Pelodiscus sinensis: one gene and its partners. The protein of the gene in region 3 purifies or fractionates together with the protein of the main gene of each other region. This does not show direct contact. Links are inferred from orthologs where the notes say so. Each region holds a gene or a part of one and is shown on either strand. Other genes may lie near its edges.

Region 1 (7,870 bases), on a different chromosome or scaffold from region 3:
CGCCTCCCAGCACCTCCCACTGTGCCTCCAGCTGTGCCTCCCAGCACCTCCCACTGTGCATCCAGCTGTGCCTCCCAACATCTCCCACTGTGCATCCAGCTACGCCTCCCAGCACCTCCCACTGTGCATCCAGCTGTGCCTCCCAACATCTCCCACTGTGCATCCAGCTACGCCTCCCAACATCTCCCACTGTGCATCCAGCTACGCCTCCCAACATCTCCCACTGTGCATCCAGCTACGCCTCCCAGCACCTCCCACTGTGCATCCAGCTGTGCCTCCCAGCACCTCCCACTGTGCCCCCAGCTGCGCCTCCCAGCACCTCCCACTGTGCCTCCCAACATCTCCCACTGTGCGTCCAGCTGTGCCTCCCAACATCTCCCACTGTGCCTCCAGCTGTGCCTCCCAACATCTCCCACTGTGCCTCCAGCTGTGCCTCCCAGCACCTCCCGCTGTGCATCCAGCTGTGCCTCCCAGCACCTCCCACTGTGCCCCCAGCTGCGCCTCCCAGCACCTCCCACTGTGCCTCCCAACATCTCCCACTGTGCGTCCAGCTGTGCCTCCCAACATCTCCCACTGTGCCTCCAGCTGTGCCTCCCAGCATCTCCCACTGTGCCTCCCAACATCTCCCACTGTGCCCCCAGCTGCGCCTCCCAGCACCTCCCACTGTGCCTCCCAACATCTCCCACTGTGTGTCCAGCTGTGCCTCCCAACATCTCCCACTGTGCCTCCAGCTGTGCCTCCCAGCATCTCCCACTGTGCCTCCCAACATCTCCCACTGTGCGTCCAGCTGTGCCTCCCAACATCTCCCACTGTGCCTCCAGCTGCGCCTCCCAGCACCTCCCACTGTGCCTCCAGCTGCGCCTCCCAGCACCTCCCACTGTGCCTCCCAGCATCTCCCACTACACCTCCCACACAAGGTCTCGTGGGAGACCAAGGCCGGAGCACGTACTCGTGTGCTGTCCGTGATGCTGGCTAGCTGAGAGAGGACGTGGCTTCCCCTTTGGCCCGCCCAGCCTGGCTAGGGATGTGGGCCACTTTGTTCCACACACCACCACCCCTTCTCAGGAGCAGTGGCTAGGCCAGGTCATGCCTAAAGCTGGATGTCCTGCGAGGCAAGGGCAGGCCTCATTGTCTGGTCAAGGCTGAACTGGAAACAGCCTTTTGACTGGGTCTGGCCTGGGGCGTGTGGGGACCTTGTGTGCCCTTGGGAGCCTTTTCCAGCAGTGGGACAGGGGAGACATCATCTAGTGCTTAGAACAAGGAGTGTGGGAGTTTAGGAGAACTGTTTCCCAGCTCTGCCACTGATTCCACTGTGTGACCTTGGGCAACTCACTATGCCTTAGTTTCCCCATATCTAAAATAAGGATTCGGCTCACCTTTAAAAAGGGAAGAGTAGGGTATTATGGCTGCTAATCTCTGCCTCCTCTCAGGAGTTTGGAGCACTAATACTGGCTCTGCTAGTTGTTACTCCAGCTTGGACTGAATTTCACTGGTGGTTTCTAGTCTTCCTGCAGGCGCTAGCAGCAGAATCCTGCTGTGTAAACACAGAATGGTAAAGTCCTTCTTTGGATTATTTCGCTCAGCTGGGAGCTGGAAGGAACCTGGTGTTTACCATGCACTTTTCCACTAGGCCCTTGGCCTGGAAAAGGAAGCAACTCCCCCAGGTTAACTGTGCAGTGCATGCAAACCGACTGCCTTTTCTAAGCCGGCTGGCTGAGGGCAGGAAACGCTCTGTGTGTGGACACAGGCTGCTTTCACCTCCTGCGTGCCTGTGCCGTGGGCCAGTGAATGACGGCCGTCTCCAGGCGGGCCAGAAACCTGCGACCCTTCCCTGCAAATACCATGGAAGAGGCCCTGGGCTCTGCAGTGGGTTGACCCCAGATGGTACGTTGGCTTGGCTGTGACCTGATCCGAACGTGGCCCCTTCCCAGTGTCACACAGCCCAGAAGTAGGGTGCCATGGGGACCCGCTGATCCCTTTGTTCTTCCCATGAGCGTTGGGGGAAGCCCAGTGGCTCTCCACGGGATGCGGGGGGCTTGCAGTACATGTGCTGCCTCCCAGAATATATTTGTGTTCGGGGTCTTGTGCTCCCCTGCACCCCTCACGTGGAGGCACCCTGTGGGCTGTATCGTGCACGGCCCCACATAAGGTTTATTACTGAGAGCTGACATTTTAGATGAATGCAGAAAAACGGCAGAAAGAAATAGATAAACATGCACATACATAAACCCGCTGGGGGCTGGATTTTTTGTGACTGTCCCCTATTTACATTCTGTCTCTCAAACATCTGGCCAACCCAGCAGAGACGGTCTCCCATTCCAGGGTAGGGATGTTAAATTTTGATTAATTAACTAATCAAATCTTCAATGGGGTTTCCATAAACGATTTGATTAGTCGATAAGAACTTCCGCTTTCCGCCTTTGAAATGCACAAGAGCCCCAGCAGGCTTTTAAGCTGGCTCCCCCCGGCCTCTCCTCCTTTTCTCCCTCCTTGCTGCCTTTTTGGCTAGGTCTACACCAGGGGTCTCCTACCTTTTTAAGCACAAGATCACTTTTTCAATTTCAGTGCAATGTAAGATCTACCTCAAACCGAATACCCCGGCCCCACTTCCTTCCCGCCCCTTCTCCAAGGTCCTGACCCTGCTCACTCGGTCCTCCCTTCCACATTCTCCCTCCCTTTCATCAGGAAGGGGCAGAGGGTTGAGGCTCTGGTCTTGGGCTAAGGGATTTGGAGTGTGAGGGGGGCTCTGAGCTGAGCCTGGGGCAGGGAGTTGGGGTGTCAGAGGGGGGAGTGTTCAGGGTACAAGCTCCATAAAGGAATTTGGGTCTGGGGGCTCAGGCAGGCATTTGGGGTGCAGGAGGGGGGTTCATGACTGGGGCATGGGTTTGGAGCAGGCTCCAGATAGACACTGCTCACCTCAGGTGGCTCCTGGGTGGTGGAGCAATGGGAATGGGGCAGGATCACCCCTGCCTTGGCCCTGCACCACTCTCAAAAGCAGCCAGAAAACTCCCCCCATTCCAAGCCCTGTTGTGTCCCCACCTTTTCTGTGGAGATAGACTATAGGGTGGAAGATGGGGCATCCTGACATCTGCCCCCCTCCTCTGCTTTCCCTGCCCTGCCCAGGCAGCAGGAGGGAGAGTGGGGGCACAGCTCCACGGCAAAGGGCAGGAGATGTGCAGCAGCGTGGGGAGGAGCAGCTGAAGAGCTGGCACTTGACAGCCTCTTGGCCAAACCCGTCAGGATCCCCCGTCAGAGGCTCCAAGATCTACTGGTAGATCCTGATCAACTGCTTGGTGACCACTGGCCTTTTTTCAGAAAAAGCTACGCAAATTGCACTCCACAATTGTGTGGCTTTTTCGGATTGCTTTTCCAGAAGAGGCTTTTCTGCCATTTGGCCCTGTCAGACGGAAAGGCCTCCTCTTTCGGAGAGCCCTCATTTCTTGTAGCACGAGGTCCATGGGGCTCCCCGAAAGAGCATGTCCAGGAAACGCGTTTGCTCTTCAGCTTTTTCTTGCGGAAGAGCAAACGTGCTCTTTCGGGGAGCCCTGTGTACCCACAATGCCTCGGCGCTCCCGGCACCTCCTCTCTGGGGGCTAGAAACGCCGACACCCCATACCCGTCTGTCCCAGCCAGCTCGTCCCCGGGTGTCTTTCGATGCTCGGCCCACCTGTGAGACGTCTCGTTGTGGAGCGTGTTCCCAGTGGAGGCCATGTTCAAAGGATCCCACCCGCAGGCCGCGTGTTGAGCCCCACGTAAACCCAAACCGCACCACGTGTTGAGTAGCCCTGGCCTAGTCGACCAGAGTCTCGACTGTCAGATAACCCTTTGCTGATTGCACCGTCGACTGGTCGCTTGCATCCCTATTCCAGGAGACCCCTCCAGAAACGGGAGTGAGGTGTCCTGTGTGTAACCTGCACTGCTGGGCACCTGTCCTGGTGCTGCCCTTTCTCCGTCCCAGGAGAGACTTACGGAGCCCCGAGGAACCGGCTGTTTAACCCTTGGGGGGCTGAGAGGCCACTCTGCTGACAGTGGGGCCTTGCGAGCACGTGTTGGCTCCTGCGGCTGGATTAGTGCAGCGGGCTGGACGACGCCAAAAGAACTGCAGGGAAACGGGAAGGGGACCACCGGGGTGGGCAGCTGTCCTGATTGGAATCCTCGCGGGGGGGAGGGGGGCACCTGGATTCTCCTTGGGGAAATCCTGTGTCCTCCCCGCTGAACCGCTCGGGCCCTGGCACGCAGCACAGACACGTCCTATCAAAAGCAGCCGCTGGTTTTGGGGTGGGGGCTGGGGGGCACAGGGCTGATCCCAGCCCCCAACTGACCTGTGCAACTTGCAACACACCAAGGCGCTGGGTCAGAGACAAGCCCCCGGCACGTCACAACCTGCAGGCGCTGACCCGAGGACACTTTGTGGCCAGCCCTGACAAGGGACCTCCCGGCCCACATCCAGGGCACATCCCCAGCGGTCCAGCCTGGGCCTGGGCCTGCCTTGCAGACACCTTGGGGGTGGCAGGTTTCTGTGCCGGCGGCTATTGTTGACCAATTTCCCGCCTAGGGAGCTACAAGGTTAAGGGGTTAACCCCTCCCTAGCGGGGGAGGCTTCCCGGGCAGGGGCTGCTCTGGCCCGGGGGTCGCCACAGGCCGGCTCGCTCCAGCTGGCTGTCGCTGCCGGGCGCTTGCCGTGTCTCCCCAGGCCCGGCCGGGCGCTGTGGTCCTGCCCCACGGGGCCGAGCCGAGATCGTAGCGGTTACCTGCCTTCCTGGCCCGGCACACGCCGAGGGAGCAGGGGGCGGGCGGCCCGACTCCCCGCCCCGGGAGCCCGCGGCGCTGCGGGCCGGGCAGGAGGCGGAGGCGCCGTCTGCGCCTTTAAGAGGCTCGGGGGGCGTGTTGCAGCCGCGCCGCTGCTCCCGGGGCCCGGAGCGGGGAGGCGCCGCTGCCCCCAGCCAGAGGCGCGGGCGGCTCGCGGAGTTTTGCAACAGGCGGCGGGGCCGGTCGGTCGGTCGGTCGGGGCCGGGCTGCAGCCCTGCCAGGCGCAGCTGGAGCCGCGGGCGCATGATGTACACGCTCGCCAAGGGACCTAGCAAGCTCGCCACGCAGAGGCGGACAGGTGGGGCCGGCTGCTTCTCGGGCGGGGGGCTGCGCCCCGGTTCTTGCCCTGCGGGGCCCGCGCCCCCCGGCTCTGCGCCTGGGGCCCCCGGCTCGGCTGCGCGCCCTGGCGGCTGCGGGGCGCCGGGGAGAGGGGGCGCCGCAGCCTGACCCGCTCTGTGCCCGCAGGTCCCACGCAGCAGGTGGAGAACAAGGCGGCGGAGCTGAAGGGCCGGCAGCCGCCGCCCAGCGCCTGGTCCCCCTCGAGGTGAGCGGTCGTGGGCCGGGGCACCGGGCCCCCCGCGCGCCCGGCTCCGGCTCCAGCCCGGGGACCCGGCGGCGGGGGAGGGGTGACCTTGGGCAGAGGTTACCCGGCTTGTCCTTGCCACATGGCTCGGGAGCAGGCGGAGGGGCGGGGAAGGGGGTGGAGGCCAACAGGAGACTCAACCCCGGACCCGATCGCTGCCTCGCCGGGCGGGCAGAGGGACCCAGGCAGGACAGGGAGCCGGGGCCGGGTGCTGGAGCCGGGGGGTGGGGCAGGGGTCATGGAGCACATGGGGTGGGGGAGGGGCAGTGCACGGAGCTGGGGGGCGGGGCAGGGGCCTGGAGCACGTGGGGGGCAGTGCACGGATCTGGGGGGGGGACAGGGCCTGTAGCACGTGGGGGGCAGTGCACGGATCTGGGGGGGGGGACAGGGCCTGTAGCACGTGGGGGGCAGTGCACGGATCTGGGGGCGAGTTAGAGTATTTGGGGTGACTGCATAGAGCTGGGGGGCCTGGAGGAGAGGGACTGAGCTGGGGGGGGGAGGACCTGATGGGCCAAGGGGTGCCAGCCAGCCAGGGCCATTCTAGGGGAGAGGGACACAGGGCTGGGGCAAACCTCCCATGCCTGGGCCATTGGGGGGCAAACTTCTCCTTCCCCTGCTGCAGACCCTCCCCCACGCCGCTCCCCAAGACCTGCCCCTCCCCCCTTACCATGCAGGGGGTGGGGTGCCCTGCTCCCTGCCAACGCAGGCTGGAGAGGGCAGCACAGCGGGTGTGGGGAGCAGGTTGCTCCGGCTCCTGCCCTGTTTGGGGTGACCCCTGCTGCTACCACTGCACCAGGACTCCCTAATGCCCTGGTCTCTAGGCCACAGGCTGGCTGAGGCCACTGCTGCAGGGCCCCCAAAGCATAGGGCCTGGGGCGGCGGGATGGCTCTGCAGCCACATCAGGCACACTGGCAGCCAGAGGCCCCCACCCCCACCACCGCCCAGAATTAGCCTTTGCCCCAGTGTACAGGCGCACGCGCTCCCCGGGGCGGGAGGGGCAGGGTGTGCCAAAGTACAGGCAGGGATGCCCGAAGGTGAGCCAGCTGCTCAGGGGGCATCTGCTGAACCCAGTGTCTCCTGCTGCCCTGGCCCGGGGAAGGAGCCATGGGCCCCAAACGTCTGGCCCCTGCCGCGCCAAACCCCCACGGGGCTATTGGGGCCTGGAGGTGGGCAGTCAGGGCCCTGAACAGCCCCGTGTTTCTGTGTCCGCGCGAGCCTGGGATCTTGGCCCCAGGAGATCAGTGGCAGAGCCAGCGCGCACAGGGCGGGAGCTGTGGGGCCGGCTCCGCTCGGGGGGGCAGCAGCGTGGCCTTTGCGGTGCACCACCCAGGGCAATTCACGGGAACGAAGTGGCTGTGACCTTGCGAAAGGCCCGCGCCCCCCCCCCCCCCCCCCCCCGGCAGAGCTCCCATTGACTTACCTGGGGCTAGTGTCACCCAGGGCTCAATCCCAGGCTGCGGGGGGGGCTCTTCCCAAACTTCTGTGCTCTCCAGTGTGTGTGTGTGGGAGGAACAAATACTGTTTGTGGCCTGGTTCAGATGAGCCACTACAGGCTCAGGTTCCCCCCCCCGGCCTGTTCTTTCCCAGATAGCACAGCCTGACACTAAGGAATTGCACCCGGCGGTGGGCCTGCTGATAAGGAGGCCTCCAGCCCTCGGACGTGCAGTAGCCAAGGCAGGGGTATTGGAGGGGCGCTAGGACAGCCCCTGGCCCACCCAGGCCCCTGCCTGCAGTAGGAAGGGTTGCGTTTCCCAGCCCGGTGGGAGAAGGGGGGGGGAGATCAGAGCAGCCTGTGGCACTAAGACCCCATAGCTAGAAAGCCAGGCTGGATCTGGTGCAGGGGCCGGAGGGCTGAAGCCACGGTCCCTGCCCACGTCCTGACCTGCCCGCTGTCCACTCCAGGAGCATAGCGAAGGGCAAAGTGGAATCCCGCCCTCACCATGTCATCAGATCCACCTGGCTAGAGCCACGTGCAGCTCCGTGGATGTCAGCTGGGCTGGCAGGGCTGCTTTGCGCCCCCTGCTGGCTCACTCATGTGCATTCATGTATGCCACGCTGCACGTGTCTAGAGCCCTGCCTGGATACAACATCTGTATCCCCAAAAGCAAGTGGCGGACCAGCTCTAACATCTGCGTGGACCCGTGGACAGCTGCAGACTGGAGGGTTCTGGATACAAAATGTGTCTCCACATTCATTTCTGCAAAAACTGAGCTGGGGGTAGCAGTAGAGGGGTAGGGCTCTACCCCGAACCCTACCAGGCAGGAAATGACCAGCAGGAAATGGTGCCTACAGCTGGGATGAAAGTTTGTTTAGAGCTTCCCAGCCTGTTTGCTGCGTGGCCTCCCTGTCACCGGTCGGACCCCTCCCCCGAGCCCCTTCTTCCCAGGCCCTTCCAGCAGGGACTCCCCCCTCCGATCACTCAAAAGTCCATGCAGCAAAACGCACTAAGACAGCCCTTTGCGGCTGAGCGCGGGAAG
Region 2 (7,013 bases), on a different chromosome or scaffold from region 3:
GTGGTGTCTCTGGAAGAAAGCAAAGGGCCACATGCTGCAACCACCTGGAATGAATTAAGCTGGGGCTAGAAAGGCCTGGCTGCACTGCCACAGGAGCAAGCTACTGCTGCTAGAGACAGACGGTGCTTGTGAAATGCTCAGGGCCATTAGGGAAGCTACAAAGGAAGAACACTCAATAATAGTGGGGGACTTCAAAGAGCCTCACCCTGACTTGGCATGTGCCACCACAGGAAAGGGTGCACCAGTCACATTGCTAGACCCCATAGATGACTGCTTGTGGGGCAGTGTGTGCTACAACCCCCAAGGGGCAAGGTCATTCTTGATTTAATCCTATATGCATAGGCTCTGGTCCAAGAGAATACAGCTGAACTGCCCTAATGTAATTACATGAAACATCCCGGGGACTCAGCAAACGGTCAGAGAAATGCACCACGGTAGCATTTACCTAGACAAAGACGCCGGGACTGCTTACATGTAAGCTAACAGCAACAGTCACAAGGGTGAAATGCTTGTATAGAAAAGGGCTTTTTGAGAACACCTTGAGAGGCTCAAAGAAAATATCTACCCCCAACAAAAGCAAGTAAGAAGACAAACACAATGCCAGCATGGCTAAACAGAGAACAGGAGGCAGTTCGATTTTTAAAAAATAATTCTTGAAAAACTGATTGTCAAATCCTGAGAAAAATAGAAAGGAGCATAAAAGCTGATAAGTCAAGTGTAATTGGTCAGCCCCAGAAAGAATCTGAAGAGCAACTAGCAAAGGACACAACCTAACCACAACAAGGCTGTGTCTACACTGGGCCACTTATTCCAGAAAATCAGCTGCTTTTCCGGAATAAGCTGCGAGCTGTCTACACTGGCCCTTGAATTTCCAGAAAAGCAACGACGCTCTACTGTACAAAATCAGCCGCTTTTCCGGAAAAACTATTCTGCTCCCGCTCGGGCATAAGTCCTTATTCCGGAACACTGTTCCGGAAAAGGGCCAGTGTAGACAGCCCAGTAGTCTTTTCCGGAAAAAAGCCCCGATCGCGAAAATGGTGATCGGGGCTCTTTTCCGGAAAAGCGTATCTACATTGGCCACAGACGCTTTTCCAGAAAAAGGGCTTTTCCGGAAAAGCAGCCTGCCAACGTAGATGCTCCTTTTCCTGAAAAACTGAAAACGGAATAGTATTCCGTTTTAAGCATTTCCGGAAATTCATGCCAGTGTAGACACAGCCCAACTGTTTTAAGCACATCAGGAGCATATTCCATAGAATCGCTATGGATAGTAATTCCCTGCTCTACTAAGAATATAACAGTAGGGATTTATTATCGACCACCTGACCAGGACAGTAATAGTGAGTATGAAATGCTAAGGGAGATTAGAGAGGCTAAGGAACTCAATAATAGTGGGGGATTTCAACTATCCCCATATTGACTGAGTACATGTCACCTCAGGACGAAATGCAGAGACAAAATTTCTTGATACCTTAAATGACTGCTTCTTGGAGCAGCTGGTACAGGAACCTACAAGGGGAGAGGCAATTCTTGATTTAGTCCTGAGTGGCGCGCAGGATCTGGTCCAAGAGGTAACTAAAACAGGACCGCTTGGAAATAGTGACCATCATATAATAACATTTAACATTCCTGTGGTGGGAAGGACACCTCAACAGCCCAACACTATGGCATTTCATTTAAAAAAGGGGAACTATGCAAAAATGAGGAGGTTAGTTAAACAGAAATTAAAAGGTACAGTGACTAAAGTAAAATCCCTGCAAGCTGCATGGACTCTTTTCAAAGCCACCATAATAGAGGCCCAACTTAAATGTATACCCCAAATTAAAAACCAGTAAAAAAACTAAAAAAGAGCCACTGATGCTTAACAACCATGTAAAAGAAGCAGTGAGAGATAAAAAGACATCATCTTTTAAAAAGTGGAGTCAAATCCTAGTTAGGTAAATAGAAAGGCGCATAAACACTGCCAAATTAAGTGTAAAAATGTAATAAGAAAAGCCAAAAAGGAGTTTTAAGAACAGCCAGCCAAAAGCTCCAAAGGTAATAAAATGTTTTAAGTACATCAGAAGAGGAAGCCGGCTAAACAACCACTGGGGCCCCTGGACGGTCGAGATACAAAAGGAGCACTTAAAGACGATAAAGTCATTGTGGACAAACGAAATGAATTCTTTGCTTCAGTCTTCATGGCTGAGGACGTTAGGGAGATTCCCAAACCTGACCCGTCCTTTGTAGGTGACAAATCTGAGGACTTGTCCCAGATTGAAGTGTCATTAGAGGAGGTTTTGGAACTAATTGATAAACTTAACAGTAACAAGTCACCAGGACCAGATGGCATTCACCCAAGACCTCAAATGTGAAATTGCATAACTATTAACTAGGGTTTGTAACCTGTCCTTTAAATCAGCTTCTGTACCCAATGACTGGAAGATAGCTAATGTAACGCCAATATTTGAAAAGGGCTCTAGAGGTGATCCCGGCAATTACAGACAAGTAAGTCTAACGTCAGTACCAGGCAAATTAGTTGAAACAATAGCAAAGAATAAAATGGTCAGACACATAGAAGAACATAATTTGTTGGGCAAAAGTCAACATGGTTTCTATAAAGGGAAATCATGTCTTACTAATCTATTAGAGTTCTTTGGAGGGGTCAACAAACGTGGACAAGAGGGAGCCAGTAGATATTGTATACTTAGATTTCCAGAAAGCCTTTGACAAGGTCCCTCACCAAAGGGCCATACATAAATTAAGTTGTCATGGGATAAGAGGGAAGAACCTTTCATGGACTGAGAACTGGTTAAAAGACAGGAAACAAAGGGTAGGAATAAATGGTACATTTTCAGAATGGAGAGGGGTAACTAGTGGTATCCCCCAAGGGTCAGTCCTAGGACCAATCCTATTCAACTTATATCTGGAGAAAGGGGTAAACAGTGAGGTGGCAAAGTTTGCAGACGACACTAAACTGCTCAGGGTAGTTAAGACCAAAGCAGACTGTGAAGAACTTCAGAAAGATCTCACCAAACTAAGTGACTGAGCAACAAAATGGCAAATGAAATTTAATGTGGATAAATGTAAAGTGTAATGCACATTGGAAAAAATAACCCCAACTATACATATAATATGATGGGGGCTAATTTAGCTACAATGAATCAGGAAAGAGATCTTAGAGTCATCGTGGATAGTTCTCTGAAGATGTCCACGCAGTGTGCAGTGGCAGTCAAAAAACCAAACAGGATGTTAGGAATCGTTAAAAAAGGGAGAGAGAATAAGATGGAGAATATCTTATTACCCTCATATAAATCCATGGTGCACCCACATCTTGAATACTGCGTACAGATGTGATCTCATCTCAAAAATATATACTGGCATTAGAAAGGATCAGAGAAGGGCAACTAAAATGATGAGGGATTTGGAACGGGTCCCATATGAGGAGAGATTAAAGAGACTGGGACTTTTCAGCTTGGAAAAGAGGAGACGAAGGGGGGATATGAGAGAGATCTATAAAATCATGAGTGGTGTGGAGAAAGTGAATAAGGAAAAGCTATTGACTTGTTCCCATAATATAAGAACTAGGGGCCACCAAATGAAACTAATGAGCAGCAGGTTTAAAGTAAATACAAGGCAGTTCTTCTTCACACAGCGCAGAGTCAATCTGTGGAACTCCTCGCCTGAGGAGGCTGCGAAGGCAGGACTAGAACCGGGTTTAAAAGAGAACTAGATACATTCAGGAGGTTAGGTCCATAATGGCTGTTAGCCAGGCTGGGTGAGGGGTGGTGCCCCCAGCCCTGTGTCAGAGGGGGAGATGGATGCAGGAGAGAGGTCGCTTGATCATCCCCTGTTCGGTTCACCCCCCGGGGCACCTGGCGCTGGCCCTGCGGGCAGACAGGGAGCTGGGCCGGAGGGGGCAGGCGGGCGGCGGGGCTCGGGGAGCAGCCAGCGAGCTGGCACCAGCGCTCGGTGCAGACGCAGGGCGGGTCCCGCTGTTTCTAGGCGCCCGAGGAGCAGCCCAGGCGAGGCGCCGGGCCCGGGGACAGCGCAGAGACAGCAGCTCCGCGGGTGAGGGGAGCCCGCGCGGCCCGGGCTGCAGCGACACCCGGGGGGGGCCGGGCCCGCCGCGCGAAGCGGCCCCACAGCCCCGCCCCTCGACCCGGGCTCGGCGCTCGGCGCGCTCCGGGGAGCGGGCTCTGCCGGGGCCCCGTGACCCCCACGCGCCTGCGCGGCCCGGCCGATGCGCTCACTTCCGTCCCGGCCTGGCAGCGGCGAGCGGCGCCGGGAGCGGCCGGGCCCAGGTGAGCGTCGCCGGGACCCCCGACCGGGCCTGGGCGGCCTGGTGCCGCGTCGCCATGGCAACGGCCCCGCCCCCCCCCGCGGGCCGCAGCCCCCCCCGACGGTTGCCCCCCCGCGGCCCCGCCCCTCCCTGCGGGCCGCTCGGTCCCCGCCAGGCCCTGCCCCGGCGTCGCCATGGCAACGGGCCCGGCGCTGGGATACAGCTCTGCCCCCCCCCCCCCCCCCCCACGATGGGGCCGGAGCCCCAGGAACAGCAGCAGCCCCCCCCCCCCCTCAGCCGCCCTGGTACCGTCCTGACCCGCCCCCCCCCTCAGCCGCCCTGGTCCCGTCCTGACCCTCCCCCCCCCTCAGCCGCCCTGGTCCCGTCCTGACCCGCCCCCCCCCTCAGCCGCCCTGGTCCCGTCCTGACCCTCCCCCCCCCTCAGCCGCCCTGGTCCCGTCCTGACCCTCCCCCCCCCTCAGCCGCCCTGGTCCCGTCCTGACCCTCCCCCCCCCTCAGCCGCCCTGGTCCCGTCCTGACCCTCCTCCCCCCCTCAGCTGCCCTGGTACCGTCCTGACCCTCCCCCCCTCTCAGCCACCCTGGTACCGTCCTGACCCTCCCCCCCCTCAGCCGCCCTGGTACCGTCCTGACCCGACCCCCCCAGCAGCGCTGGTACCGTCCTGACCCTCCCCCCCCCTCAGCCGCCCTGGTCCCGTCCTGACCCTCCCCCCCCTCAGCCGCCCTGGTCCCGTCCTGACCCGCCCCCCCCCTCAGCAGCCCTGGTCCCGTCCTGACCCTCCCCCCCCCCCTCAGCCGCCCTGGTACCGTCCTGACCCGCCCCCCCCTCAGCAGCCCTGGTACCGTCCTGACCCTCCCCCCCCCAGCCGCCCTGGTACCGTCCTGACCCGCCCCCCCCCAGCAGCCCAGGTACCGTCCTGACCCTCCCCCCCCCCCAGCCGCCCTGGTCCCGTCCTGACCCGCCCCCCCCCCCAGCAGCCCAGGTACCGTCCTGACCCCCCCTCCCTCAGCCGCCCTGGTACCGTCCTGACCCTCCCCCCCCCTCAGCCGCCCTGGTACCGTCCTGACCCGCCCCCCCCTCAGCAGCCCTGGTACCGTCCTGACCCTCCCCCCCCCCCAGCCGCCCTGGTACCGTCCTGACCCGCCCCCCCCCAGCAGCCCAGGTACCGTCCTGACCCTCCCCCCCCCAGCAGCCGCCCTGGTCCCGTCCTGACCCTCCCCCCCCCAGCCGCCCTGGTCCCGTCCTGACCCGCCCCCCCCCCCAGCAGCCCAGGTACCGTCCTGACCCCCCCTCCCTCAGCCGCCCTGGTACCGTCCTGACCCGCCCCCCCAGCAGCCGCCCTGGTACCGTCCTGACCCTCCCCCCTCCCCCAGCCGCCCTGGTACCGTCCTGACCCTCCCCCCCCCCCAGCCACCCTGGTACCGTCCTGACCCTCCCCCCCCCCAGCAGCCGCCCTGGTACCGTCCTTACCCTCCCCCCCCTCCCAGCCGCCCTGGTACCGTCCTGACCCGCCCCCCCCCCCTCAGCAGCCCAGGTACCGTCCTGACCCGTCCCCCCCTCCCCAGCCGCCCTGGTACCGTCCTGACCCGCCCCCCCCTCAGCCGCCCTGGTACCGTCTTGACCCGCCCCCCCAGCAGCCCTGGCACTGCCCTTGGGCCCTGGTACTGCCCCGCTGGGGGGGTTACTGCTCTCAGCCGTCCCCTCACACAGTGACCGGGAGCGGGCTGCGCGTGCCAGAGTCGTGCCTGCCTGACCTGGTCTGTGGGCACCTCTGGGTGCAGCTCCCCAGCAGGCACCACCCCGCCCCACAGCAGCACAGGTTTTGCCGCCCTCCCCCCCATTTCCTATGCAATGGCCTGCAGGGATGGAACGGTCCTGAGCAGCGGCCGTTGACCAGCAGCCCAGCGGGTTTGGGAGCCAGGAAGCTGATCCGGGGCTTCGTCCCAACCTGCCCTTTGTTCGGTCCCCTCCTTGGCAGACTCCAGCATCACCTTGGACGAGGCTCCCCCTCTCAGGGTGACCCCAGGTTTGCTGCCTCTCAAGGCCTGTGGCACATACACTGTCAGCCAAGGGTGAAGCCTTCTCCCAGTATAGGTATACTGGGGCAGGGCTACCTTGTCTGGGCATGGCTTGTTCCCTTTGGTGGGTGGGGATAGCGACCCTGGCTGTACCCTCGTTTGCACCAGTATAACTGTGCCCACATGAGGGGGTTGTACGACATCAGCGCACTGGTGGCATTAGCCCCACACCCTGAGCACTGATGGGTTAAAGTAGCACGAGCTCCCATCCGAAATCCTTCTCCTTCCTTTCTGGAGGGGCGCCGCAGCTGCTGGGGTGGGAATGCAGCCACTCTGACTCTCGCAAGGCCTTGCTGCTGTGCTTGGGATGCCTGCTTGGGGTGCCTGCATGGCTAGCGGGGCTGCAGACACAGTGGCTTCCACCCACGCTCAGCCCCCTTTCACTTTCTGTTCCAGCTTCCATCTCCTGTCTGCCAAGGGGCTGCGCTGCCGAAGGCAGGCCTAGAGGGGGCTGAGCAAGGAAGCAGCCATGACCAGGTGAGACACTTTTCCACAGGCCCTGTAGATGAGTGGGGGAGGGGAGAGGCATGGACTCCCTTTTAAGGGGGATACCCTGGGGCTGGGCACAGCATGAACAGTACTAGCTTTACTGTTAGCCGGGGGCTAGAAAAAACGGCTATTAGCCAGGGGATAGAAATGGTGTCCCTGGCCTCGGTTT
Region 3 (7,742 bases):
TGTTTTATTTCATTCAAGAAAGGTAAACAACTACTTACAATACTTCAGTTTTCTTATCTGAGACAGCAAATCTGACAAGTCTTAGAGACTCCCTTCTTAATGTTTTAATTGTGCTAACACCTTGAGATAAATTCAAAAAAGTTTTCCTCACTAAAACGCCTGCCTGTTGCCCTCAGAAAATAAGTACATACAAAACCAATTCAAAATTTAGTAAAAAAACATCAAATGGTCTGGTAGCATTTTATAGATTAACAAAACATGTAGATGGTATTATGAGCTTTCGTGGGCACAAACCACGTCTTCAGATGACCGGGGTGGAGAAGTGATGACTGAAGAAGTGGACTGTGCCCATGAAAGCTCATACCACCATCTACATGTTTTGTTAGTCTATAAAGTGCTACCACAGACCATTTCTTGGTGTTTTTTTCCCCCTGTACAGACTAACTCAGCTACCCCCTGAAGCTTCAAAATTTAGTGACAATATTGGGAAAGTATTATAATGGTTTGATATTTTGTTTGCTAAACACAATGACTTGTACTCTTCATAGAAAATTACTGAAGTGCAACTACAAGATAAGTTACTGTGAAGTAACCCTAGAACTGTTACTAACAAGTCTACCTCCCTCACAAGGAAGGGGGAAAGGATTTACAGGCTTGACTTACAGTATCACCACTACAAAGAACTGCACTGTATAAAATAAATGCAAAACAAAAGGTGGCATTAGCTGATCACTGAACTCTTATAAAGAAGTTGTTTACCTGATACCTTGTCCATACCAAGGTTAAAAAAAAATCACCTATATAATTCAAATACTAACATTCCTTAAAGGGACATTATCTAGTCACTTTCAAGAGCAATTCTAAGTAGTTTTAAGTACAACAACTTGCTTCTGAGTCTGACAATGTCTATTGTTTTACAACCAAGTTGTCTTTTTTTTAAATCAGCCCTCAGTTCCTTTACTTGTATTTCACAGTAAAGACAAAGCAAGTGACTATGGAAGGGAAACCGTTAAAATTAGTATGTGAAGTACTGCTAACTGCACAAAACCATGTTTAAATACCTCCTCCAATATCTGTCAAGTCATTTTACATGGCACACCTTTTGAGGTGAAATATTTTGACACAGATCATTTTCAAGTACCTTTAATTTACAGGGACACTTATACATCCAAAAATCATTTTAATGAAATGCTTTAAGTATTAGAATGTTTAAGAAGTCAAGAGAAACACTATTTGGATTTAGACATTTCCCTTCTATGTTACTACTAAAAAAAAAATTGAAACATATAGCTAGTCCAGAAGCAGCAAACATATAAACAGGGAGTTACAGCAAGAAGTAAATTCAATTTTGAATTTTTTAAGGCTCTGTTTAATAACCTACTTTCATGCTATTTTACCTGACAACATGCCTTTGCACTCCTTAACACTCACAGGAAAAACATTAGATTATGTTATAGAGTAAAACAATATTTAATAAATCTGAACAAACCTAAAACTTCAGGGACAGCTTAAAAAATTAGTGCTCTTTACTAGCAAACCTCAACATTCCCCCTCCCCCTTTTCTAAGCATTTCCTTTCTTCATTTTGACCACGTATGCAGGACTCTGGAAGCCGCTGCCACTAACTATATTATTTCCACTCCCCTTTCTGCAGTGAACATCCTCCTTTTCCCTGGGAGCTTTGATTTTTGCCTAAAGATAGCACATAACGCTACAAGAAAAAACAAGACTGGGAGGGGACACTTTTTAAGAGATCCCAGGAATCACTCTTTCGTTGTTTATAAAAACTACTCCCTTGCATCTTAGCAAAGACCTCATTAGTAGGCGGAGGTGAGCTGCCCCAGAACCGACCTACATCTCCTCTAACCATAAAAGCCCTCACTGAAGCTCCAATCAGTTCAGAAATGTCAGCCATAGTCTCATCCTTCTACACACCAGAAAAAGGTCTCGTTTTCCGAACCAAACAATGGAGCGCAGCAGCTTAAGCATTTATTGCTTCCCTCCCACTTCGCCATGGGGCTCAGCCCGGGACTGACAGCGCTTCACCACCAAGCTTTGGTGTGAGTCCGATGCAGTTTCTGCAGTGCTTAGGAAAGGGGGCGATTCCGAAAGGCGGGCGCCCGGCCTAACAGCAAACGTCCATAAACCCTAGAAATGTATCTGCGCAACATCAGCGGGCACCATCCGTCGGGCAAACAAAAGACACCCCCGGCCGCTCGGGCCCCAGACCCCGCGGGGGCGGTGCTCCCCTGACGCCCAACCCGCCCCCCGGGCAGGGCCCCTAAAAGATACAACAGCGCCGCCCCCCCCCGCCCTCAAGGTCAGGCTGCCAGATACAAGCCTCCCCCCCACATGACCCCCGCACACACCGCAGCGCCGCCCCCCGCAGCAGCGATCGCCCGCGCCCTGGGTAACACGCCCCTCCGGGGCAGCGAACACACCGGTCTCCATGCGGGGGGGGTGAGACCCGCCAGACCCCTCCCCGCACTGCGCCCCCCGCCGCCTCCGGGCTCGAGTGGCCGCCCGCAAGGCCAGGCCCAGCCCCTAGTGCGGGGCAAGGCCGCAGGCCTCACCAAAGAAGCGGCCGCCCAGGCCCGCGCGGCCCCATGCCCTGTCCCCAAAGCCGCTCCTCGGGAGCCTGCTCCCCGCCGCCGGCTGGGCTGCCCGCTCTCCCAGCGCTAAGGAACCGCTCACTTGCCCGCTTGGTGCCTTGTTATGGCGATTCGACGCTCCAAGATGGCGGCTTCCTTCTTCCTCCCGTGCGCCCTCCCCCTCCCGGCCGGGCCGCGGCCAGGCCCCGCCCCCCGTTACCTCAGCGCTGCTGCGAGCCGCCGGGACGCCTCGCGCCGTCACCCCGCCCCCGCCGTCACCTGCACTCAGCCGCTCCCGCGAGGAGCCGCAGCGCCGGCCGGCCATGCCCGCCTGGTCAGGCGGAAGGGAGGGGGCTGCCGCAGGGCTCGACCCGCCTCCGCTCAGCCGCGGCCGTTTCCCTGCCGCGCTCTTCGCCGCCCGCTTCTTCTACAGGGGCCCCCAGCACCGCCTCCTCCCTCCGCGTCACAGAAGCTGCCGCGCGCTTCGCGGCCTCCCGCCCTCCGCTTCCCCCCGGCTGCGCGCGCGGCTCCCTCGTGGGCTCCGTCTAACTGAGGCGCAGCTCGCGCCGTGGCCCCGGCTCCCGTGAGCGGCTGAACGCCCGCCTCAGGCCGGGACCGTGCAGAGCCAGGCGCTGCCCGCGGCCCTGCGACGCTCACAGCAAAGTCGGTCCCGAGAGAGACTCGAGCCTCGTCTAGGGACCCTGGGTGAGACGGTGCCGACTGGACACGCAGGGGTTGTTCCCCTCCCCCGGGAGGAAAGTGTCAAAATTAGCGACTGCCGGGAATAACTTTCTGAACAACCCTTCGACTTAGTAATTTACGGAGTCTCAGCCAGCACGCGAGGAGGAGCTGACAGCGTGCTCTTTCTGTTCTTCATTACAAACGAACAGTTGTGGCGGCAAATAGGTTTTACAAATGATATTTCAAGTTTTGCTGCCCTCATAATATAACACTGTATTAAATCTCTGCTGGAAAAAATATTGAACATCAATGGCAAAAAATAATATGGAAACAGTTGAAGGTGAATGAAAAAAAGTTTTAAATCAGATTATTTTAAAAAGAAAATTGAGTTTTTTAACAACACACATCTGCATAATAGAAAATGGTAATTTAGTAGACAAAAGCTTGAATATATTCCCGAAGTAATTATCCTTTATACTCAAATTTGTATGTCCATCTCTCTCATATCTGTATTTATTCTTACATGGGTTAGCACTTAGCTGTTCTGCTCAAGGGAAACATTTTCTCCATGCCTTCCTTTTATGCTCTCTCACTTAACCAAATAGTATTTTGTTAATTATTTAGCTGCACTGTTCCTTTTAAACCATTATTTACTAAGATACCCTCGCATCATTAATAAAGTACCAAACAATTTAACAGTCAAACGATTTTTAATTTTGCATGACAGGGCCCCAGAAGAAGCTTCTGAAGACAGCAGGGAATACAGGAAAAGCAAGTTTGTAAGTACAGTCAGGGCTTAATTTAGAATCAGGTGACCTAGGTAACTTCCAGGGGGGCCGGGTGCTTTTTTTTGTTGTTAGTTGCAAAAGGGAAAATAGAATGCTAAACACAGGTACTCTGTATGTGGATTCATTTTTTTTACTAACCTCCTAGAATGTTCTGGATCTTTTGTAGAATCTTGTTTTAACCTTCCAGACTTTCTGATAACTGCATTTTCCTCAAACCTCCTAGAAGTTGTCAGACATGCCCTTATGGGTGTATATAAGGGGCAGGGCATTGCCAGTCAACCTTATATGACCAATAAAGCACACGTGCCACCCATGCTCCGAAGTTGTGAAGTGGGGTACAAATGCAAAAAAAAAAAGTTTAACGATTGGAAAGGGGCACTAAAGACATCCCTTGTTTGGGGTGCCATTTCGTCAAAGACTGGCACTGCGTACTTCTGTGGTCACCAACCCGTCAATCGCAATTGACTGGTCAATTGGGAGGGCTCAACCAGTTGATCACAAGGCGTTCAGGGGGGCCCCCCATTTCACTCCACCCCCAAGAAGCCCCACTACCTTCCTCTAGTAACAATGGAGGTAGTTCCGGCTTCCTGTGGGGTGGAAGGAAGTCCAGCAGCTGTGCGCCACTTCAGGATTTCAGGAAGTGCGCTGGCTGCTCCCTCTCCCCCAAACAGCCGGCGTGGCACCACAACCCAGGTCTGTGGTGTGCCAAGGACTTGCTGGGGGGAAATCCCCAGAGGAGGTGCATGCCGGGGCTTCCCTCCTCTTTGAGGGGGAGGAGTCCCCAGAGGAGGCACGCGCCGGAGCTTTCCTCCTCTGTAGGAGTGGGGAGGAGTCCTGGGAGGAGGCGCCTGCTGGAGCTTCCCTCCTCTTCTGGGGGGTGGGGGGTAGGAGTCCATTCCCAGAGGAGGTGCACCGGGCAGGGGGAGAGGGGATAGGAGTCCCAGGGGGAGGCATGTGTCGCAGACTCCCTGCCCCCACTGGCACTCTGCCTCAGCACCCACTAGCACCTTTCCCCAGTACCATGTCCCCTGCTCCCACCAGCACAGTTGGAGCCATATTAGTGAGGCTTGGGGAGGGTTTTGGAGGAATTTTTTTTTTGCATCTCACTTGTGGCCCCAACTGACTTTTCTGTGGGTCACTGATCCCTGACTCAAAACAGGTTCCCTGCCCTTCTCATAAATAAAGACAATGCTGAAACTTTTTTGTGTTTGACATAATATTTTATTTAAAAATGAAGCCTGGCCAACAACCCTCCAATTGTGGCCAAGCCCCCATTTGGCCACAGCATCATAACACTCCTGCACCTCCACCCCACCCCAGACCCTAGATCTGAGCCTATCATATACTGGAGCTCCCTGTCCTGAGCCTCTCACATCCCCAAACTCCTGCACCCCCACATCCTCAGTCTTCCGCCACGACACTTCTGCACCATCCACACACTGCAAATCTGTGTCCTGGTGCCATCATACTCCCAACCTCCCTGCCCTGAGCCCCTCACATACCTCAACCCAAACTCCTGTACCCTCACATCCACAAGCCTATGGCTAGCTCAGTACCCCAACCATCCACCTGACCCAAAAACTTCCCAACCTGGAGCCAGCATCCCCATCTCCACCTCCTCCTGCATATAAATTACCTCCCAGAGCTTGCACGTCTCACCCCTTCCCACACCCAAATCCCTCATTCCCACCCTAGAGCCCACACATCCTGTCAACCCAGTGAGGGTACAGCTAGACTGCCGGAGTTTTTCTGGGACTCCAGAGGTATCCCGGAAAAAACTCTTCCGCATCCGGGGACGCATTTGTTCTTCCACTTTTTTTAGTGGAAGAGCAACCATGCTCTTTCGGTAACCCCTTTATTCCTCATTCCACAAGGATATTTGGCCCAATCTAGATAGCAAAATGTTGGAAAAACCTCTTCATACAGAAGAATTTAAAAAAACAAAGCAGCAGTGTAGCCATACCCTGAGTGTGTATAAGGGCTGGGGATAGCAAGTGATGGAGAGGAGAACAGAGAGGGCGGGGCTTTAAGGAAGGGGTGGGGGTCTTGGGAGAAGGATGGGGCGGTAGATCTTGGCTTGTTCTGACATTTAAAAAGTGATCTTGGGGGGTAAAAAGGTTGGAGACCACTGGTTTACTGTATCTGAAATTTTCACCCATAGAGTTTTGTTAAGGGTGAACCTCCAGCATAAGTTCAGTAGGTGCTGTTGGACCTTGCAGTTCTATACCAGTGATGTGCTGGAGAAAACTTTTAGGATCTCTTTCTATTATTCTGACACCAAAGGGCAAGGAGAATTGATTTTCTTGCCTTGGAGGGCATTACCCTCTCTCTGGATATTGTTAACATATTCCCACACTAGGTATAATTTATTAGTGCAGTAGGGATGTTAAAATGTGTTTATTTAAGTAAAATGTAACAGGTGAAAGTTTCAACAGTTACTTGTGGGGGGAGAGGTAGCTTCCGCCTCCCCCCACACTGCTGCCAAGAGGGTTTTTCTAGCACAAGAAGGGGCAGTGTAGACAGCTCCTTGTGGTGCAAGAGCCTCTCCTGCAAAATTGGTGGCTTATTAGGTATGCAAATGAGGCTCGGGGATATTCCACACAGCCTCATTTGCATATTTCTCACGCAAGAAGCCGCGAGTGTAGACATAGCCCTGGAGGAAGTAAATGAAGTTCTTTTGAGGAAGTAAATGAAGATGTAATGATAATCTCTGGTGTATGCCAGAGGTACAGCCACCTGGGATCTTCCTATATAGGCTCCCGTTCCTAGCAGATAAAAAAGAGGAACGGACTGGTCAGACCATTAATCCAACTCTGTTCACCAGAACTACATTTCCCTCTCTGGCCACCATCACTCTAATTTCCAAAACTGTAATGGAGTCTTTTTCTAAATGTATAGGTTTTCTAAGTTGATGTGGAGCCCAAATACTGGGATTTAGAATAAACAGACTTTTTGTTCTTATTGAAATAAAGTTGCTGTTTCAGTTATCTTTTAAATGTGCAGTTCATGATATCATGATATCTCAATTAGAATTCTTACAATGTGAAGAGCTTATTAATATTTACAGGTGTTACAAGTCACAGTCTATACTCTCAAAGGCAAAATGGAAAAACTGACTAAATAGCACTTGGGAGTTTCCATTTGTAATGTATATGGTATCAAAAATACACTGAATTTATTATCTACTTAATTTATGATTTGGGGATTTCACAATTTTAGGCTTCCACTGCAATTTTTATTTTAATTAGCTTACAGGTTGAGTATCTCTAGTCCAGCACTCTCTGATCCGGCAACATCCATGTTAACTAGATGTTATCATGGGTGTTATCAAGTTTCCCACAGTCTCAAAGTTTACAGCCACCAGTCCTGGCTAAGTGTTCTGTGCTATTATTTACCCCTAAATATCTTCTAAGAGCCCAGTAAGCGGTGGAAGTTTTGATAATGCTGCTAGACAATATTTACCTCCTGTGATCTGGCTAATTCTTTGGTTTGGCACCAGTCAGGTCCCTAGGGTTCCAGGCTAGAGAGGTCCAACCTGTACTTCATACAGTCCACAATTTTTCATACTTTTTAGGTTTGCAACATGCTGTTCCCCATTAGTACAGTATAACTTCCATTTATCCATGCTGACAGTGGCAGGGCTCCCATTCTCAGTTTCGTGTACTAATGACTAATATAGGTGC
Region 4 (7,976 bases), on a different chromosome or scaffold from region 3:
ACACAGAACTTCTTGATTCCTGTCCCCTTCATGGACTGAAGAGACACCTTCACCCCAGTGCTCCCGCGCACTGTGCAAGGGAGTGGATAAAAATCTCTCTCCGGTGCCCTTAAAAATCATCACTGCCTACTAACCCATATGCAGGGCTGGATTACCCAATAGGCAGACTAAGCACGTACTTAGGGCACCAGCAAAGCAGGGGCACACAAAAAAAAGAGAGATTTTACGGTATAGTATTATTTTTATTTTGAATTACATTTTGCGGGGGGGGGGGGGGACACCATACTCTTTTCAGTACTTAGGGCCTCTAAAGGTCTTAATCGGGCCCGGTCCATATGCATGTCCTCTCTCTGTACTCCCAACTGCCACGGAATCTTCTGGTGCCAACATTTCCCTCTCTTCACGGGCTAACGAGACAGCCACGCCTCCTGGCCACGAATATATCGCAGTGCCACTACAGACAGTCACATCTGCTCTTCTCATGCAGCGGCAACTGGCTTTTGGTATCACTTGAGTGAAGGGAGGATTGGTATGTGGGTGTTTATTTTGTTGCCAACCAACTGACAATGTTAGACTTGGGGGACAGGCTGTCCTTTGCCTAGTGGAGGCATGGGGGAAGGATACTGGTAGGAGTTTGCCCTAGAATTGGCAGGCAGAGTAGACCTGTCAGGACTTGGAGTGGGGATGGCCTGCCCTAAACAGTTGGAAGAAGGGCAAATATGGCCTAGTTAAAAGGAGCTGGCAGTATCTGGATGGGGTTTTGCAGGGGGAAAGTGAAAGCCAGAACCTTTGCCCATGGATTGTGTGTTTTGTAGGGGGAAGTGTCTCAGAACTGGTCAGGGGATTTGCCCCAGTTTGGTGTGGGGATGATGAATGAAAGTGGGTTTGCCCTTGGATGTTTGAAGTGGGAACGACAGGATGTGTTTATGGCATGGGTAGGGGGGAGCTTTTTTGGGCGAGGTGGTTCTGGGATTGTCAGGATTTTGGTGGGAAGTTGTCCGCTGACTGCAGGGGAAATCAGATGTTGGAAGAGGGTACATTGGCAGGATTTGTGGGGACAGGAGTGGGAATTGACCTCTGTTGTCTGGGAGGGGAGGTGTCAAGATTTGGGATTTGGCCCTGGACTGCTGGGAAAGGGAGGCGTCAGCATTTGGGGGTTGTTGGCAAGCAGTTCTTATAATTTGAGTGGGGTCTAGTCCCTGGATTCTCAGGGAGGCTCAGGATTTGAGTGTAGGTGTTGCCCCTGGATTGGGGGGGGGGGGAGGTGAGTGAGCGAGAGAGAGAGGATTTGAGGTAGGGTTTGCCAGATTTGTTAGGTTTCGGGGTGACTGCACGGATAGGTTACCTAGGATTGTTGGGGAGGGAGAATCCAAAATTTGGGGAGTAGGGTGGTGCTGACATGGGTTTGGGTATGAAGTTACCTCAGATTATTGGAGGAAAGGGTCAGGGTTGGGGGGCTACCCTGATATATATGTGTGTGTGTGTGTGATGTTTGGGGGGTCAAAATGGATTATGGGCAAGGAGGCCTTGCTTGTGGGAGTCCTATATATATGTAAAATTTGAGTGGAAGGGGTTGCCCTGGATTATTAGAGAGAGGGTCCTGATTTGGGGGGGGGCTGCCCAGATGTGGGTTATAGGGTATGAGATTACCCCTGGATTAGTGGAAGGGGTTCAGGAACTGGGAGGTTGCTCAGATGTGTTGGGGTTTAGGTGTGAGGTTACCCCCAGATTATTGGAGGGGTGGGTTATAATTTGGGAGGTGCCCAGATGTGTGGGGGTTTAGGTGTGAGGTTACCCCCAGATTACTGAAGGGGGGTTATAATTTGGGGGGTGCCCAGATGTGTGGGGGTTTAGGTGTGAGGTTACCCTCAGATTACTGGAGGGGGGTTATGATTTGGGGGGTGCCCAGATGTGTGGGGGTTTAGGTGTGAGGTTACCCCCAGATTACTGGAGGGGTGGGTTATGATTTGGGGGTGCCCAGATGTGTGGGGGTTTAGAGGTGAAGCTACCCCCAGATTACTGGAGGGGGTTATGATGTGGGGGTGCCCAGAGGGGTGGGGGTTTAGGTGTGAGGTTACCCCCAGATTACTGGAGGGGGGTTATGATTTGGGGGGTGCCCAGATGTGTGGGGGTTTAGGTGTGAGGTTACCCCCAGATTACTGGAGGGGTGGGTTATGATTTGGGGGTGCCCAGATGTGTGGGGGTTTAGAGGTGAAGCTACCCCCAGATTACTGGAGGGGGTTATGATATGGGGGTGCCCAGAGGGGTGGGGGCTTAGGTGTGAGGTTACCCCCAGATTACTGGAGGGGGGTTATGATTTGGGGGGTGCCCAGATGTGTGGGGGTTTAGGTGTGAGGTTACCCCCAGATTACTGGAGGGGTGGGTTATGATTTGGGGGTGCCCAGATGTGTGGGGGTTTAGAGGTGAAGTTACCCCCAGATTATTGGAGGGGGTTATGATGTGGGGGTGCCCAGAGGGGTGGGGGTTTAGGTGTGCTACCCCCAGATTACTGGAGGGGGTTATGATGTGGGGGTGCCCAGAGGGGTGGGGGTTTAGGTGTGCTACCCCCAGATTACTGGAGGGGGTTATGATGTGGGGGTGCCCAGAGGGGTGGGGGTTTAGGTGTGTTACCCCCAGATTACTGAAGGGGGGTTATGATTTTGGAGGTGCCCAGATGTATGGGGGTTTAGGTGTGCTACCCCCAGATTACTGGAGGGGGTTATGATGTGGGGGTGCCCAGAGGGGTGGGGGTTTAGGTGTGCTACCCCCAGATTACTGGAGGGGGGTTATGATGTGGGGGTGCCCAGAGGGGTGGGGGTTTAGGTGTGTTACCCCCAGATTACTGAAGGGGGGTTATGATTTTGGAGGTGCCCAGATGTATGGGGGTTTAGGTGTGCTACCCCCAGATTACTGGAGGGGGGTTATGATGTGGGGGTGCCCAGAGGGGTGGGGGTTTAGGTGTGTTACCCCCAGATTACTGGAGGGGGGTTATGATGTGGGGGTGCCCAGAGGGGTGGGGGTTTAGGTGTGTTACCCCCAGATTACTGGAGGGGGTTATGATGTGGGGGTGCCCAGAGGGGTGGGGGTTTAGGTGTGTTACCCCCAGATTACTGGAGGGGGGTTATGATGTGGGGGTGCCCAGAGGGGTGGGGGTTTAGGTGTGAGGTTACCCCCAGATTACTGGAGGGGGTTATGATGTGGGGGTGCCCAGAGGGGTGGGGGTTTAGGTGTGAGGTTACCCCCAGATTACTGGAGGGGGTTATGATGTGGGGGTGCCCAGAGGGGTGGGGGTTTAGGTGTGAGGTTACCCCCAGATTACTGGAGGGGGGTTATGATGTGGGGGTGCCCAGAGGGGTGGGGGTTTAGGTGTGTTACCCCCAGATTACTGGAGGGGGGTTATGATGTGGGGGTGCCCAGAGGGGTGGGGGTTTAGGGGTGAAGCTACCCCCAGATTACTGGAGGGGGGTTATGATGTGGGGGGTGCCCAGAGGGGTGGGGGTTTAGGTGTGTTACCCCCAGATTACTGGAGGGGGTTATGATGTGGGGGTGCCCAGAGGGGTGGGGGTTTAGGTGTGTTACCCCCAGATTACTGGAGGGGGGTTATGATGTGGGGGTGCCCAGAGGGGTGGGGGTTTAGGTGTGTTACCCCCAGATTACTGGAGGGGGTTATGATGTGGGGGTGCCCAGAGGGGTGGGGGTTTAGGTGTGTTACCCCCAGATTACTGGAGGGGGTTATGATGTGGGGGTGCCCAGAGGGGTGGGGGTTTAGGTGTGTTACCCCCAGATTACTGGAGGGGGGTTATGATGTGGGGGTGCCCAGAGGGGTGGGGGTTTAGGAGTGTTACCCCCAGATTACTGGAGGGGGTTATGATGTGGGGGTGCCCAGAGGGGTGGGGGTTTAGGTGTGTTACCCCCAGATTACTGGAGGGGGGTTATGATGTGGGGGTGCCCAGAGGGGTGGGGGTTTAGGTGTGTTACCCCCAGATTACTGGAGGGGGGTTATGATGTGGGGGTGCCCAGAGGGGTGGGGGTTTAGGGGCGAGGTTGCCCCCGGATCGCTGCAGGGGGTGCGCGCTGTGGGGGGCGGGGCGGCTCCTCCCCGCCAGGGGTCGCTGCAGCGGGCGGCCGGTCCCTGCGGCGCGGCGGCGGGTCGCTCCCCGCCGGCCCGTGTCCTCTCCGCGGCACGGCGGCCCTTTCACCCCGGGGAGGCTATAAAGGGGCGCCCCGGGCCGGGGGCCGCCTCTCGCCGCCAGGGCCGCGCGTGAGTCGGGCCCGCCCCGCCCGCCACAAAAACCCAAAAAAATCGCAAAAGCCCCGGAAACTCCCGCCAAGCGCCCCCCCCGGTCCGTCTGTCCGACCCCCCCTCGGTCCGTCCGTCTGTCTGTCTGACCCCCCCCCCCCTCGGTCCGTCCGTCTGTCTGTCTGACCCCCCCCCCCGGGTCCGTCCGTCTGACCCCCCCTCGGTCCGTCTGTCCGTCCGTCCGACCCCCCCCCTCGGTCCGTCCGTCTGTCTGTCTGACCCCCCCCCCCCTCGGTCCGTCCGTCTGTCTGTCTGACCCCCCCCCCTGGGTCCGTCCGTCTGACCCCCCCTCGGTCCGTCTGTCTGTCCGTCTGACCCCCCCCCCTCGGTCCGTCTGCCCCCCCCCCCCCCGCCTGTCTGTCCGCCTGCAGGCCCGGTGCTGTCCGTGTGTCCGTCCGACCCCCCCCCCCAGTCCGTGGGTCTGTCCTTCGGCTCCCCCCCCCCCGTCCGGTCCTTGGGCCCGCCCGTCTCTTCCCCCCCCCCCCCCCCCCACGGTCCGTGGGTCTGTCCAGGCCCCACGTTTCTGCCCCCGGCCCGGCTGCCCCTGGGGCCCCGCGCGGCGCTCCCCCCCCCCCCCCGTCTGTCTGTCTGTCTGTCTGCGCCCTCCTCAGGCTCCACGTGGGCCTCTGTCTCCCCCGTCGGTGCCTGCCTGCGCCACGGCGTGTCGTCCCCCCCCCCCCCTCCCCCCCCCCGGTCTCTCCTCGTCCGAGCAGCCGGGCTCTGCCTGATAGAAACAGCAGCGGGTCTCGTTTTCCTTTAAAAAAAGCTCTAACCCTAGTGCGAAGTTTGTCTTATTCCTCCCCCTCCTCCCCCCAAAAAAAGTTTTTACCTAAGGAAATAACACCGCGGTCTCAGGCCTTGGGTCTGGAGGCTTTGGAAGAAGAAATAATAATAATAATAATAATCTTTTTAAAAATAACTTTTTTTAACTGACCTGTTTTGCTTTTGGAAATTGAGGCAAGGTGGCAAAAACGCCACAGGCCGTGGAGGAGGAGGCTTTGGGTTTGTTTTTTGTTTGTTGGGTTTGGGCACCTTCCGTGTGGAAGTCTCACGTTTTTTGACTATTTCCCGGCACTTTCCCGTCCTGCTGCTTTCCCCTCTCCTCTCCCAGGGCCTCAGATAATCCAACACCCATTCTCCAATAATTCTGGCTCCCCTCCCAAATCCTCACGAGCTTTTCTTGCACTGAACTCCAATCTGCTTCTTTGACTTTCCAGACCCCTTAGAGTACCCTACTTTTCACCTGACTTCCCAGTGGCCTGGACTTCCTTCTGTGACTTAGTTTTTTCTGCCCTGAGGGTGATCCTCCCTCCCCCCTTCCCACCTGGTTTTCCCACTTTAACGTCTGCTAGTCCTAAATTAGTGATTTTTGTTATTTACCTGTTTAGTTTCTAAAACTTTTGCTTGTTTAAAAAAATTTAAAAAAAAATAAAATAGTTTCTGGTGGGAGTGCGTGCTGGGTGGAAGATGAATACAGCTGCTAGTAGCTACCCAATGGCATCATTGTATGTTGGCGATCTGCACCCTGATGTCACAGAGGCCATGTTATATGAGAAGTTCAGCCCTGCTGGGCCTGTACTCTCCATCCGAGTCTGCCGGGATATGATCACCCGTCGCTCCCTGGGATATGCCTATGTCAACTTCCAGCAGCCAGCTGATGGTAAGTTGGACACACATGCCCATGCCTCTTCCTTTTTTCTATACAGTTCTGCTGCTTTTTATAAATCCCCATCCAGTCACCTAGCTGTGAATTACAGTGGCGGGGTAAGAACTTCATGACAGCTCTGATTTGCTCCTCATTATGAAAGTAGAATGATTTTAACTACTTCACATCTTCAGAAGCCTTTTCAAACATTAAATAATCTTCACAGCACCTCTATGAAGCAGAGAAGTGATATTTCTCTTGGCCAAAATCAGCTTCCTGGGACTCACTTTTTCTGACTCAGAGGGGGTCTCTGTGTTTGTAACTTTAAAAATAAGGAGTAGTCCTGTAGCACTTTAGAGAGTAAGGATGTTAGAGTGTAACTGAGGAATGGTTTAGCCCATACTCTGATGCCTGTCAGTTAATGGTGTCAGTTACATTCAGGCACCCAGAGAGGTGGCGTCACTGTGGTGGGACAGTGATGCCTCCTCTCTGGGAGGTGGGTGGGCAGGGGCTGCCAGCTCTGCTCTCGTGGAGAGGAGGGGGGAGGCTTTGCTGTGGGTTCCCCTTGTGGGGGAGGACTTCCTGTAGTGTGTAACCGCTGAGATGTTCAACAGTTGCATGGTTACCTGTTTAACTGAATTTTAACATCCCTACTTTAAGCTTCATGCCTGGCTCTTTAGCCAGTCAGTCACTAAAGGAAGGTAAAGCCTAATCAGCATCTGGCCCGATCTGAGTCTGAATAACTGTAAAGGAGTCTTCCTACTCTCACCTGGAGACTTGAGGGTGTGTGCAATGGGCTGAGGATTGTAATGGCCAGAGATGTATCTACACTGTTATAAAACCCATGGGATCAAGATTCAGAGCCTGGATCCACAGACTGGAGTTCACGCTGCAGCGCTATGAACAACATTGTAGCTACTTAGGCGCAGGCCCTGAAGCCTTCCTTCCCTCCGTGCCGGAGTCCAAACATCTATGCTGCTGGTTTTACTGTTGTAGCACGAGAGCCCCTGTGTGTAGACCCCAGCTCTGAGATGCCTTCTCACAGATTTTAAAATGCAGTGTAGACTTGCGCTGGGGAAACAGCCAGGTGGCTGATCTAGTTTGCAGTTGGTTATGAAGTGGAAACACATGGACTGATGCTTTTTCTACCTTTTTTAAAAAAAGGAATACACACCCATCTCACTTGAAGCCTTAATGAGTGACATACAAAATTCATGGTGCCTTGCTTGGTTTAGCTGAAACAAAAAACAGGACTATGTAGCACTTTAAAGACTAACAAGATGGTTTATTAGGTGATGAGCTTTCGTGGGCCAGACCCACTTCTTCAGGTTTAGATGCTGTTCAGGTAGGTGTCCTTGGCCCGCAGCAGCAGATATTTGAGAAGGATGGGGCAGAGGAGATCAATTTTTAGTATGTCCTTATCCAGAGGAAAAGCTGGGTCAGCATTTTCTGTCCTAGTTCCCACAGTCTTGTATTAGACAGGGCTAAGTGTTGCCTGGTGCTGTGAGTTAGCAGCATCTTTACATGAGGTAAATTGCTAGAGGGGTTACATTTGCTGTAAAAAGGAGTGACTATTTAACTTTAATCCAGAAATAATTTGCAACAACACAAACTTCAGCTACATGTAAACTCTACTCATAGAATCTACTTTAGATTCAAGTTTAAGAATACAAATTGTAGTCTCATCAGTACACAAAGGAATATGTGGTCCTTGAATTTTGAGTTTTCTAATCTGTAGTAAATATTAGTTACTACTAAATTGATTCAGAGGGGGGTAGCTGAGTTAGTCTTTAAGATGTTACTAGAAGATTCGTTGTTTAAGTTTTTCCAGTTACAGATGAACAAAACATGTAGATGGTATCATGAGCTTCAGATGAAGAAGTGGGTTGTGCCCACGAAAGCTCATGATACCGTCTACGTGTTTTGTTCGTCTCCACGGTGTTGCCAGACTGTTTTTTAAATTTGTACATAATTGATGTATTCTTCTAAACCTATTCAGAAGCAGAACCTACTGGGCTGAATTCTTGTCTG

Evidence for each region.
Region 1: the proteins of DDX6 (region 3) and MCRIP2 purify together in Homo sapiens (co-immunoprecipitation; 5 studies listed by BioGRID and IntAct, with this or other methods). This does not show direct contact. The link is inferred for Pelodiscus sinensis from reciprocal best matches to the Homo sapiens genes DDX6 and MCRIP2.
Region 2: the proteins of DDX6 (region 3) and MCRIP1 purify together in Homo sapiens (affinity purification with mass spectrometry; 3 studies listed by BioGRID and IntAct, with this or other methods). This does not show direct contact. The link is inferred for Pelodiscus sinensis from reciprocal best matches to the Homo sapiens genes DDX6 and MCRIP1.
Region 4: the proteins of DDX6 (region 3) and PABPC4 purify together in Homo sapiens (affinity purification with mass spectrometry; 3 studies listed by BioGRID and IntAct, with this or other methods). This does not show direct contact. The link is inferred for Pelodiscus sinensis from reciprocal best matches to the Homo sapiens genes DDX6 and PABPC4.

The regions. Positions count from the first base shown.
Region 1 is NC_134726.1:2,083,956-2,091,825, reverse strand, and holds the start of MCRIP2 (MAPK regulated corepressor interacting protein 2), read left to right. Parts: upstream 1-4,859; 5' UTR 4,860-5,052; coding exon 5,053-5,107; intron 5,108-5,274; coding exon 5,275-5,353; intron 5,354-7,870.
Region 2 is NC_134730.1:29,673,027-29,680,039, reverse strand, and holds the start of MCRIP1 (mapk-regulated corepressor-interacting protein 1), read left to right. Parts: upstream 1-4,012; 5' UTR 4,013-4,047; intron 4,048-4,127; exon of another isoform or gene 4,128-4,280; intron 4,281-6,139; exon of another isoform or gene 6,140-6,303; intron 6,304-6,751; 5' UTR 6,752-6,824; coding exon 6,825-6,832; intron 6,833-7,013. UniProt on the Homo sapiens protein: The phosphorylation status of MCRIP1 functions as a molecular switch to regulate epithelial-mesenchymal transition. Unphosphorylated MCRIP1 binds to and inhibits the transcriptional corepressor CTBP(s).
Region 3 is NC_134736.1:596,840-604,581, reverse strand, and holds the start of DDX6 (putative ATP-dependent RNA helicase DDX6), read right to left. Parts: upstream 3,010-7,742; 5' UTR 2,870-3,009; exon of another isoform or gene 2,811-2,869; intron 2,797-2,810; exon of another isoform or gene 2,573-2,796; intron 2,081-2,572; exon of another isoform or gene 1,935-2,080; intron 1-1,934.
Region 4 is NC_134735.1:2,618,758-2,626,733, forward strand, and holds the start of PABPC4 (polyadenylate-binding protein 4), read left to right. Parts: upstream 1-4,974; 5' UTR 4,975-5,767; coding exon 5,768-5,960; intron 5,961-7,976.